3 linked regions of the Macaca mulatta genome follow. The protein of the gene in region 2 purifies or fractionates together with the protein of the main gene of each other region. This does not show direct contact. Links are inferred from orthologs where the notes say so. Each region holds a gene or a part of one and is shown on either strand. Other genes may lie near its edges.

Evidence for each region.
Region 1: the proteins of LRRK2 (region 2) and NCL purify together in Homo sapiens (co-immunoprecipitation; 3 studies listed by BioGRID and IntAct, with this or other methods). This does not show direct contact. The link is inferred for Macaca mulatta from reciprocal best matches to the Homo sapiens genes LRRK2 and NCL.
Region 3: the proteins of LRRK2 (region 2) and SLC25A5 purify together in Homo sapiens (co-immunoprecipitation; 3 studies listed by IntAct, with this or other methods). This does not show direct contact. The link is inferred for Macaca mulatta from reciprocal best matches to the Homo sapiens genes LRRK2 and SLC25A5.

Annotation. Positions count from the first base shown.
Region 1 is NC_133417.1:136,712,956-136,716,604, reverse strand, and holds the end of NCL (nucleolin), read left to right. Parts: intron 1-188; coding exon 189-346; intron 347-1,188; coding exon 1,189-1,312; intron 1,313-1,543; coding exon 1,544-1,677; intron 1,678-1,788; exon of another isoform or gene 1,789-1,868; intron 1,869-2,177; coding exon 2,178-2,304; intron 2,305-2,377; exon of another isoform or gene 2,378-2,514; intron 2,515-2,689; coding exon 2,690-2,913; intron 2,914-3,060; coding exon 3,061-3,137; 3' UTR 3,138-3,565; downstream 3,566-3,649. UniProt on the Homo sapiens protein: Nucleolin is the major nucleolar protein of growing eukaryotic cells. It is found associated with intranucleolar chromatin and pre-ribosomal particles. It induces chromatin decondensation by binding to histone H1.
Region 2 is NC_133416.1:47,171,202-47,174,850, forward strand, and holds part of LRRK2 (leucine-rich repeat serine/threonine-protein kinase 2), read left to right. Parts: intron 1-2,141; coding exon 2,142-2,392; intron 2,393-2,916; coding exon 2,917-3,065; intron 3,066-3,649. UniProt on the Homo sapiens protein: Serine/threonine-protein kinase which phosphorylates a broad range of proteins involved in multiple processes such as neuronal plasticity, innate immunity, autophagy, and vesicle trafficking.
Region 3 is NC_133426.1:125,937,707-125,941,455, forward strand, and holds the start of SLC25A5 (ADP/ATP translocase 2), read left to right. Parts: upstream 1-1,280; 5' UTR 1,281-1,346; coding exon 1,347-1,457; intron 1,458-2,486; coding exon 2,487-2,973; intron 2,974-3,195; coding exon 3,196-3,336; intron 3,337-3,724; coding exon 3,725-3,749.

The sequences.
Region 1 (3,649 bases), on a different chromosome or scaffold from region 2:
AAAAATTTTGAGTATTTGTAAAACTGTAGTGGGAAGTAAGAGGGAAGCTCAAGTTTGATTGAAAAGTAGCATAAAACTAAGGGCATTTATTGTATTCAGATCTGAAGCAAGTTCTGTGTTGCTGAGGTATAAAAGCATTTGTGTTAATGTGATTTTAAAAACCATGAGTTCTTCTCCCTCCATTGCAGGATTGCTTATATTGAATTTAAGACAGAAGCTGATGCAGAGAAAACCTTTGAGGAAAAGCAGGGAACAGAGATTGATGGGCGATCTATTTCCCTGTACTATACCGGAGAGAAAGGTCAAAATCAAGACTATAGAGGTGGAAAGAATAGCACTTGGAGTGGTAAGAAATTAGGCTTGTTACTGGGTTCCAGAATTGATGGAGGGAACTCCTTTGTGTCTTTGTACTTCATAAGTTTATACTTTTTAATCAAAGTTACTTAAATGTAGGTGAAGATCAAGGACATTATACCCTAAGTTATACTCTTATTTGGAATAGTAATTTCCAATCTTGAATGAGAGCTGTAAAATCATTTTGCATTGGAATACAGTAGGCAAATCAAGCTTCCTTTTTGTAGGTATGTTTTATACTTTAAATGACTTCGACTATGTGTGTGTGTGTGTTTTTTTTTTTTTTTTGAAACAGTCTCGCTCTGTGGCCCGGGCTGGAGTGCAGTGGCCGGATCTCAGCTTACTGCAAGCTCTGCCTCCTGGGCTTACGCCATTCTCCTGCCTCAGCCTCCCGAGTAGCTGGGACTACAGGCGCCCGCCACCTCACCCGGCTAGTTTTTTGTATTTTTTAGTAGAGACGGGGTTTCACCGTGTTAGCCAGGATGGTCTCGATCTCCTGACCTCATGATCCGCCCATCTCGGCCTCCCAAAGTGCTGGGATTACAGGCTTGAGCCACCGTGCCCGGCCGACTATGTGTGTTTTGAACTCAGATTATTGTTCTAGGAAAACAGGCCAGTAGTCAGCCTATACATAAAGAACCACCACCAGAACATTGCAACATGTACTAAGTACTTAATATGTTGAGTAACAAAAGTGGATTTCACTTACATCATCAGTATTTGTGTGTTAACTCTTTCAAGCACTGAAATGCTTAGGAATAAAATATTACTGCTCTGACCGAAGCTGGGAACCACTGTTTCAGAGTCTTAGGAATGTGGCATCTCTATTTGCAGGTGAATCAAAAACTCTGGTTTTAAGCAACCTCTCCTACAGTGCAACAGAAGAAACTCTTCAGGAAGTATTTGAGAAAGCAACTTTTATCAAAGTACCCCAGAACCAAAATGGCAAATCTAAAGGGTAAGATAATTAATACCTTTATATCAGTTACAGGCTATATATGTCTTACAGGTCTAAAGGAACGTAAGGTCATGTGATCCTGTCAGAAAAGCCAAATAATTTTAGCTACGTAAATGAGTGTAAAAGAGCGTCATTTAGGTACCAACTTGAGAGAAGGCTTGGCAGCATCTTGTGACAGTGAAGGAGCACGTGCTTGGTAACTTACTCTAAGCATTAACTGTTCATCCTCAGGTATGCATTTATAGAGTTTGCTTCATTCGAAGATGCTAAAGAAGCTTTAAATTCCTGTAATAAAAGGGAAATTGAGGGCAGAGCAATCAGGCTGGAGTTGCAAGGACCCAGGGGATCACCTAATGCCAGAAGCCGTAAGTTCACCTGGATAGGATGCTGTGGTTGGGGGTAGCACTCTCAGTGCTTTTGGTGTTTATTTTTTGCACAAATTCTGTGTTTCCTGTTGCTACTGAGTGAACAATAACTGGATATGATGACTGATTACCTGAGAAATAATTGATGAAATCTCAAGAAGATTCCTCTAGATAGTCAAGTTCTGATCCAGCTGTGTCAACTCAGAGCAGCAAGTTTGCCCATGATTTCCTGCCCCATCCAGTGGGCAGCACCTGCTTGGGTTCTTCTCCCACTTTCCATAGAAGATGTGGGGCAGAATATCAACTATGCAGTGGCAGTTTAAAAAATGTAAACTCAGAATAGCCTTACTTTAATTAAGGACTAGTTGGCTTAGTTGCTTTTCACTGCTTTTCCACTAAGACAAGCATTCTTGGCCAGTAGTCATACCAGGCATTGTGCAAATTCAGTGTTACTACGAACTGTGACTTCACATAAAGTCACAATTTTTTTTCTTCCCCAGAGCCATCCAAAACTCTGTTTGTCAAAGGCCTGTCTGAGGATACCACTGAAGAGACATTAAAGGAGTCATTTGACGGCTCTGTTCGGGCAAGGATAGTCACTGACCGGGAAACTGGGTCCTCCAAAGGGTAAGGGAAGAAAGCATGAGTGCTGCTTTCACTTGAAGGGGTTTTTGTTCGGTGGAGACCTTGAGTCTAAGGTGTCTTCTCATTGAGCTCCTTTCTGTCTATCAGTGGCAGTTTATGGATTCGCACGAGAAGAAGAGAGAATTCACAGCACTAGCATTATTTTACCTTCTGTCTTTACAGAGGTATATTTAGCTGTTTTGTGAGACATTCTGGGGTTCAAGCTGTCACACCAGTTAGTTTTCCATAGAGAGCTACTCTGTCACTGGTATATTTTCCAAACTAAACAAGGCTACTTTCTGTGGGATGGCTCCCCAGTGTGTGCCGTTAACTTGGGACATGTGCAGTAGGTGCTTTTTATAATGGGCAATTTCATTTGGTGTTCTAGGTTTGGTTTTGTAGACTTCAACAGTGAGGAGGATGCCAAAGCTGCCAAGGAGGCCATGGAAGATGGTGAAATTGATGGAAATAAAGTTACCTTGGACTGGGCCAAACCTAAGGGTGAAGGTGGCTTTGGGGGTCGTGGTGGAGGCAGAGGCGGCTTTGGAGGACGAGGTGGTGGCAGAGGAGGCCGAGGAGGATTTGGTGGCAGAGGCCGGGGAGGCTTTGGAGGTAAGGCACACAGGGATAATGACTTCAATGTCTACTGGACACCACGTAGCATATGCTCTTTAGACCGTGCCTTGTCACGGTTCCTAATCACTGGGAGGAGGAACTTTGTACCTATTCTTTTAACAGTGTCTTGCCTTCCCCCTGTAGGGCGAGGCGGCTTCCGAGGAGGCAGAGGAGGAGGAGGTGACCACAAGCCACAAGGAAAGAAGACGAAGTTTGAATAGCTTCTGTCCCTCGGCTTTCCCTTTTCCATTTGAAAGAAAGGACTCTGGGGTTTTTACTGTTACCTGATCAATGACAGAGCCTTCTGAGGACATTCCAAGACAATATACAGTCCTGTGGTCTCCTTGGAAATCCGTCTAGTTAACATTTCAAGGGCAATACCGTGTTGGTTTTGACTGGATATTCATATAAACTTTTTAAAGAGTTGAGTGATAGAGCTAACCCTTATCTGTAAGTTTTGAATTTATATTGTTTCATCCCATGTACAAAACCATTTTTTCCTACAAATAGTTTGGGTTTTGTTGTTGTTTCTTTTGTTATTATTTTTTTTTTTTTGCGTTCGTGGGGTTGTAAAAGAAAAGAAAGCAGAATGTTTTATGGTTTTTGCTTCAGCGGCTTTAGGACAAATTAAAAGTCAACTCTGGTGCCAGACGTGTTACTTCCTAAAGAGTGTTTCCACTGGAATGTCACTGGAGAGCATGGCAAAGCCAGCTCTGCCACTCACTTCACCCAT
Region 2 (3,649 bases):
AGTTCAAGAGTTCAAGACCAGCGTAAACAACAGCAAAATCTTGTCTCTACCAAAAATACAAAAAATTAGCCATGTGTGGTGGGGTGCACCTGTGGTCCCAGCTACTGGGTGCTGAGGTAGGAGAATTGCCTGATCCTGGGAGGCAGAGGTTGCAGTGAGCCAAGATTGCACCACTGTACTCCAGCCTGGGCAACACAGTGAGACCCTATCTCAAAAAAAAAAAAAAAGTCTTGTTGCAAATGCATTTCCCCCTTTTTAAGTCTAAAAAATTATCATAATTTTGAGATGTTTTAAAGGCAATATTACATAAATTTTAAGTATATTTAAGGGGTGTTTTTCTCTGTAAAGTTTTTATATCTGGAGACAGAGAGAAGAAAGAAAGGTGACCCACTCCTCCAGCCATGCTGTAATGTCTAAAATGTGTCTTTCTCTCTTCACCTCTTTGCCTTGCTAAATACTTCAAGTCACCCAGGGCTCAATTTAAATGTCACTTCATCACTCTCTGCTTCTCTTCCTTTTTCCTTCTACCCTCCAGCCAACCTGGCCACCTAACCTCCATTTCCATAACACATGATGCTTTCCCTCTAATTCTCATTCAGTCATCCAATTTGATTTAAAGTACCTTTGCCTTCACTAAACTGTGAACTCCTTGAGGACAGGACTTGTTTCAGGCTTGTTTCTGTCTATTCCCAGTGCCTAGTGAGACCTGACATATGGTAGAAGTTTAGTAGATACTTACTGAATTGATTTGTGGAGGCATTAATGCCTGAAACTTGGTAATACTTCAATTAATATTTGTTAAATGAGCAAGTGAAATAATTCAGAGATTTAGTCTAGTTAAAACAAAGAGAATTGGAAGGCTGGGCACGGTGGCGCAAGCCTGTAATCCCAGCACTTTGGGAGGCTGAGACGGGCGGATCACAAGGTCAGGAGATCGAGACCATCCTGGCTAACACGGTGAAACCCCGTCTCTACTAAAAAATAGAAAAAACTAGCCGGGCGAGGTGGTGGGCGCCTGTAGTCCCAGCAACTCGGGAGGCTGAGGCAGGAGAATGGCGTGAACCCGGGAGGCAGAGCTTGCAGTGAGCCGAGATTGCGCCACTGCACTCCAGCCTGGGCGACAGAGCGAGACTCTGTCTCAAAAAAAAAAAAAAAAAAGAGAATTGGAAGAGATGGTGATAAGGTGAGACATGCTGGCATTCAATGACTGGACAAGCTCAGAATCTTCTCTTAGGGAAATTTCAAAATGACACCATTAGATGGTACTTTGTTTGTTTGTTTGTTATTGTCAAAGAGTCTCAACTATGTTCCTTTTTATAAGAAAATTTTCTGATTAAACCCTGGGAATAATTTTAAAATCTTTACTTTGGAATAAGTTAATAAGGGTCTGAAACAAAGGCAGGAATTTTGAAACAACTTCTGAGGCAAAGAGTCATTAATAAGCCTCTATAATCATACCAAAGTCTAGAATTTCTTGTGTGGATAAATATACTGATATATAAAGAAGAACATAGAGAAGTGATTGTTTTTGGCATTTGAGCTCTTTAAGAGTATTACATAACAAAGTTGTAAAAAGTCGACGTAATATGTAAGTAGGGGTTTGCTGTTATCATTGTAAAATTATAAACTGCTTAAAAATGGAAAGTAGAAATTTGAAACAAAAAGTTTCATAAAAAAGAGGAGGTTCTAAAATGAAACACATATTGTATGTAACTATTTTTATGGTTAAATCTTATATATATCAAAATATGTAACAATTTCTGACAGCATTTAAAACATATTCCCAGGATTATGTTGTGCTTTTTCTTAAATCATTAATTCAAATATATGTTGAGGCCTATTCTGCTTCCATTTTGCTCTTTCTGGAAATAATTTACAAAAAAGCTGAAGGAAGCTTTCAACTCTATTTTCATGAACCTGCTTTTTACAGTCTACCGTTGTAATTTTGCTGGTTTTACCCATGCTATAAGCAGAGGTGATTGGGCTAATCAGTATACTGAAATTCTGTTGTGGATTGTGTTTTCAACTTTTTGAAAATTCTTGATGGTTCTAGTTACCAGAGGTGTGTAAGGCAGAAATATTAGCTAGACTTAAGTTCCTCAGATGGTCCACTTTAGAATTTTAAACTCTTGTCTTTTCAGACTCTGAAGAGTTTGACACATTTGGACTTGCACAGTAATAAATTTACATCATTTCCTTCTTACTTGTTGAAAATGAGTTGTGTTGCTAACCTTGATGTCTCTCGAAATGACATTGGACCCTCAGTGGTTTTAGATCCTGCAGTGAAATGTCCAACTCTGAAACAGTTTAACCTGTCATATAACCAGCTGTCTTCTGTTCCTGAGAACCTTGCTGATGTGATAGAGAAACTGGAGCAGCTCATTTTAGAAGGGTAAGAAAGAGCTCATTAAAAATAAAAGGACTGCCTAAATATGCTGATGTTAACAAAATACGCTGACATTTGTATAGTCATGAGTTTTGACAACATGGTGAAACTCCATCTCTACTAAAAATACAAAAATTATCCGGGGTTGTTGGTGCGCGCCTGTAATCCCACCTACTCAGAGGCTGAGGCATGAGAATCGCTTGAACCCAAGAGGCGGAGGTCGCAGTGAGCCAAGATCGCGCCATTGCACTCCAGCCTGGGTGACAGAGGCGAGACTCTGTCTCAAAAAAAAAATATATATATATAAAATATATATTTATTATAATGTATAAGTATTATTATATATAATAAAAACTGAGACAATGAATATTACAACTTTTATCAATGACTTACATTTTCACAACTAATTTTTAAATTAATGAGTCCTCTTCGATGCTATTCTTCAAAAGCAAATTGTTTTTGGTATTTTTTCTTTAAAGCATATGAATGAATTTATGCAGTTTAATCATTATCTTGTCTCTTGTGACTAGAAATAAAATATCAGGGATATGCTCCCCCTTGAGACTGAAGGAACTGAAGATTTTAAACCTTAGTAAAAACCACATTTCATCCCTATCAGAGAACTTTCTTGAGGCTTGTCCTAAAGTGGAGAGTTTCAGTGCCAGAATGAATTTTCTTGGTAAGTGTTCTGTGTGGGTCTCCTCCTTACCAGGCCCTCTAAGTTGTACAAGATGAGTCACATATGGACCCTTTAGGTGGGGATTGAAAGGTGGCATTTCAGTTTAAATATTATGCTGGATTTAAAAAATAAAGTTAGCAGGTTGGCAATAAAAGAAAATGCTATCAAACTATGAAAATAAATGAAAGAAATGTAAATGCATATTGCTAAGTGAAAGAGGCCAATCTGAAAAGGCTACATACTATTCGTTCCCAACTATAAGACATTCTGGAAGAGACACAATTATGAGGACATTAAAAAGATCAATGGTTGTCAGGGGTTAGGGGAGGGAGAGATGAATAGGTAAAGCACAGAGGATTTTTAGGGCAGTGAAACTGTTTTGTATACTACAGTGGGGGATACGTGCCATTGTTCACTTGTCAAAACCCATAGAATGTACAGTACAAAGAATGAACCCTGATGTAAACTATGGACTTTGAGTGATAATGAAGTGTCAAATATTGGCTCATCGATTGGAACAACTGTGCCAAACTAATGCAAATTGTTAATAACAGGGGAAAATATATGTGGGGTAGTGGTGGTGA
Region 3 (3,749 bases), on a different chromosome or scaffold from region 2:
ATTTTGCCTTTGGGAATTCTGAAGTCTGGGCACATAAGGTTCAGCCGCAGTTGCCGTTTTCAACAGTCATCCTTATTTTTATAAACATTGTTATGATTATTCAGACACGGAATTTGTGATTACACTCTCTGCTCCTGTTCTGAACCTGAGGGAGTCCACTTAAGCGAACAAGTAGGTTTTTGAGGACATGTGTGGCAAATGCTTACCCAGTGAAGGGATTAAGGGGCTCAGTAAGCACTTGTCCATTGGCGCAATGGCTGCCAATCTAATTCTACTGATTCCTCTAAATGTTTCTGGAGTTCAGAAATCTATTCGATCCAAGGGCACTTTACCTGGGGTCCTGGAAGCCAAATGTCAACGTAGTTCTTAACCTTCCTAAGCCTCTTAACCTTCTGGGTACAACCTCTATATTTACCTTCTGGCTAAAATCATTTCCCCACCCCCAGCCCAGTCCTTTGGACTCTCCCAAGCCAATTCCTGGCAAGGTCTTTGTTGAACTGTATTTGCAAACCAGGGTCTGGGGCACGGTGGCAGTTCCTTCGTCTGTTGTTCCCTTAATTTCGTCTGGTTTCACTGGCTCCAGGACAGTGCCCGGCCTAGGGTGGGAAGAGTGAGGCACTCACCTTGGTGAAACACAACTCAGTAATTAAGACAAATGATTTTTAATGCACTATTTAAAAAAAAATCAAAAGCAATGCAAAAATTCATGATGAACAAATGATCAGCATTTGAAATACAGACAGGATCCCAACCTGCACTTGCATGACTTTGTCTCGCTTGCCTCACCCTGAATTCAGCCTTGACACTTCAATTAAACTTTATTTACAAAACAAGGGGGCCGGCCAGCAGGATGTTTGCCCATACGACTTTTTTAAAGTATCGTTTATCTCGATGACTGAAGGGTTCTTTTGGCATCCCTGTAACAAATGCGTCTCACCCTAGTTCTGCTCCAAGGGTTTTTGTCCAGGCACACCGTGACCTCACCGTTCCTACCCACTCCGAGGCCTCTGTCAGGGTTCAGCGTTCAAGTCCCGGGTGTCCTCTGGACCCGCCCCTTCCTCCTGCCGGGTCAGGTGCCGAGGGCGAGCCCGGGCGGCGCGGAGAGCGGTCCCGGCCAGCCCTCCACGACTCCTCCCCCTGCGCGCTGGGCCACTCAGCTGCTCTGCCGCCCAGCGCGCCGGGGCCCAGACCCCGCCCCGGCCCCGCCTCCGACGCCTGCCGCTCCGGCGCCGGCTCCCCCTATATAAATCGGCCATTTGCTTCGCTCCGCCCCGCAGCGCCGGAGTCAAAGCCGGTTCCCGGCCCAGTCCCGTCCCGCAGCAGCCTGCCGCCTCTTTCCTTTCAACATGACAGATGCCGCTGTGTCCTTCGCCAAGGACTTCCTGGCAGGTGGAGTGGCCGCAGCCATCTCCAAGACGGCGGTAGCGCCTATCGAGCGGGTCAAGCTGCTGCTGCAGGTACGTCCTGGGATCCAGGAGCCCAACCAGGAAGTGGGGGGGAGGGTCGCACAGAAGGCGGGCGCCCGAGGGGTGGCGGGGAGCGAACTCCAAAGACATGGCCAGGGAAGCGGCTAGGAGAGGCCAGAGCCGGGCGCAGAGGCAGAGCAGAAGGCAAACTGGTGGGAGGCGCCTTTAGTGACCTGAAGTTGTGAGTCTAGAAAGGGGCCAGGGGCGGAGAGCAGGACCAGGCTCTCGGCATCCCCGAGGCGGCCGACTCGGATGGAGCAGTCCCTGAGTGACGGCCTCCCCGGGCCTGGGCGTCAAGGGCGAAGGCCGAAAGCCGGCGTTAGAAAGAGGAACGCCAGTTCTTAACGAAGACCTCAAGGTCGCGGCAAGGAGATAACTGCCCGGGGAAGGCCATGCGCCCGGGTCCGGCGGCCTCCCAGCCCGCGGACGCGCTCAAACCTCGCCGGGCCGGAAGCCGGCGCCGGGAAGCGCGTGTTCCTTTTACGTCCGCCTCCGCGCAGCCGCGGCCGCCGTGTCCCCTCCGCCTGCCTCCCTGCGCCGCGCGCTCTCCAGTGCTGGCTCTAGAGGGCGCCCCTGGGCGAGCGTGTAGGGGTGCCGGCGGCGGCGCTCGGGTCACCTCTGGAAGCGGAGTGGGGGCGGAGCGAGACGGAAGCAGCTCAGGAGACCGGAGGCGTAGGCTGCGGTCCCCAAGGTGACCGCGCCCTATGTGGGACTCGCCCTAATGCCTCTGAACCTGGGTTTGAGGTAATGACCTTTATCTCAGGTTTAAAGGTCACGAGTCCGCTGGAGGATGCCCCCTCCCCACTCAGAGGGGTGGAGGCTTAATACCTCTGGTGCCGATCACCTCTTCCCCTGTGACAGCCTCATATGGTTGGGAGGCTCCAGCCAGTATGATATACGAAGACTAGATTTGGGAGAGGGGAGCCAGCCTTAAAGGGTATTGATCCATATGGCATATGCCCTTCTCTTTCCCTTCCGCATGGTTATAACTGTCCCTGTTGGCTTCTTCCTGTCTGTTAGGTGCAGCATGCCAGCAAGCAGATCACTGCAGATAAGCAATACAAAGGCATTATAGACTGCGTGGTCCGTATTCCCAAGGAGCAGGGAGTTCTGTCCTTCTGGCGCGGTAACCTGGCCAATGTCATCAGATACTTCCCCACCCAGGCTCTTAACTTCGCCTTCAAAGATAAATACAAGCAGATCTTCCTAGGTGGTGTGGACAAGAGGACCCAGTTTTGGCGCTACTTTGCAGGGAATCTGGCATCAGGTGGTGCCGCAGGGGCCACATCCCTGTGTTTTGTGTACCCTCTTGATTTTGCCCGTACCCGTCTAGCAGCTGATGTGGGTAAAGCTGGAGCTGAAAGGGAATTCCGAGGCCTCGGTGACTGCCTGGTTAAGATCTACAAATCTGATGGGATTAAGGGCCTGTACCAAGGCTTTAACGTGTCTGTGCAGGGTATTATCATCTACCGAGCCGCCTACTTCGGTATCTATGACACTGCAAAGGGTAAGTTTGCTGTGGGCTTTAAAGTTGTGTTCTTAGGAGACAATTTAAAAGAGCGTTGTACCAACCTAACATTCCAAGAGCTAGAGAGTTTTTTTAATTGCTGAAGGAAGCCAAGATCATCCAGTGCGACCCTCATGCACAGATGACATGTTTAGGGGATGTGGGGAAAGGAAGTCAGTAAAACTCTACTTTTTGGTAAAAGCATCTCTTTCCTATTCCCAGGAATGCTTCCGGATCCCAAAAACACTCACATCGTCATCAGCTGGATGATCGCACAGACTGTCACTGCTGTTGCTGGGTTGACTTCCTATCCATTTGATACTGTTCGCCGCCGCATGATGATGCAGTCAGGGCGCAAAGGAAGTAAGTTCCCCTTGAGCAGAAGATAAAATTGTAGGCGTGGGGCAAGCTGCGGCCACAAACTAGTGATGCCCACCTTTAGAAATGGCTGGCTGTCCAAGTCAAGGGATGGGGTTGATAGCATCTGTGTCTATTCCACAGCTGCCTTTGATCCGGCCCTTCAGATGCCTATGAATGAGGGTGCTTAACTGGTATTAGAGATTAAGACCAGTGGGTAGTCTGTGTATTCCTGTGGTCACAGCATTAATATTTCAGTGTTGCCCATGCTAATGTGTGAATGTTGGGTTTAAAGCTGATGTTCTTAGAGGTAGGGCTCTGCTTTATTTAGCCTAGTGAATCTTAGGATTTTTCATCGGCCTTCAGTCACCAACTCTGTCTTTATTCTTTGCAGCTGACATCATGTACACAGGCACGCT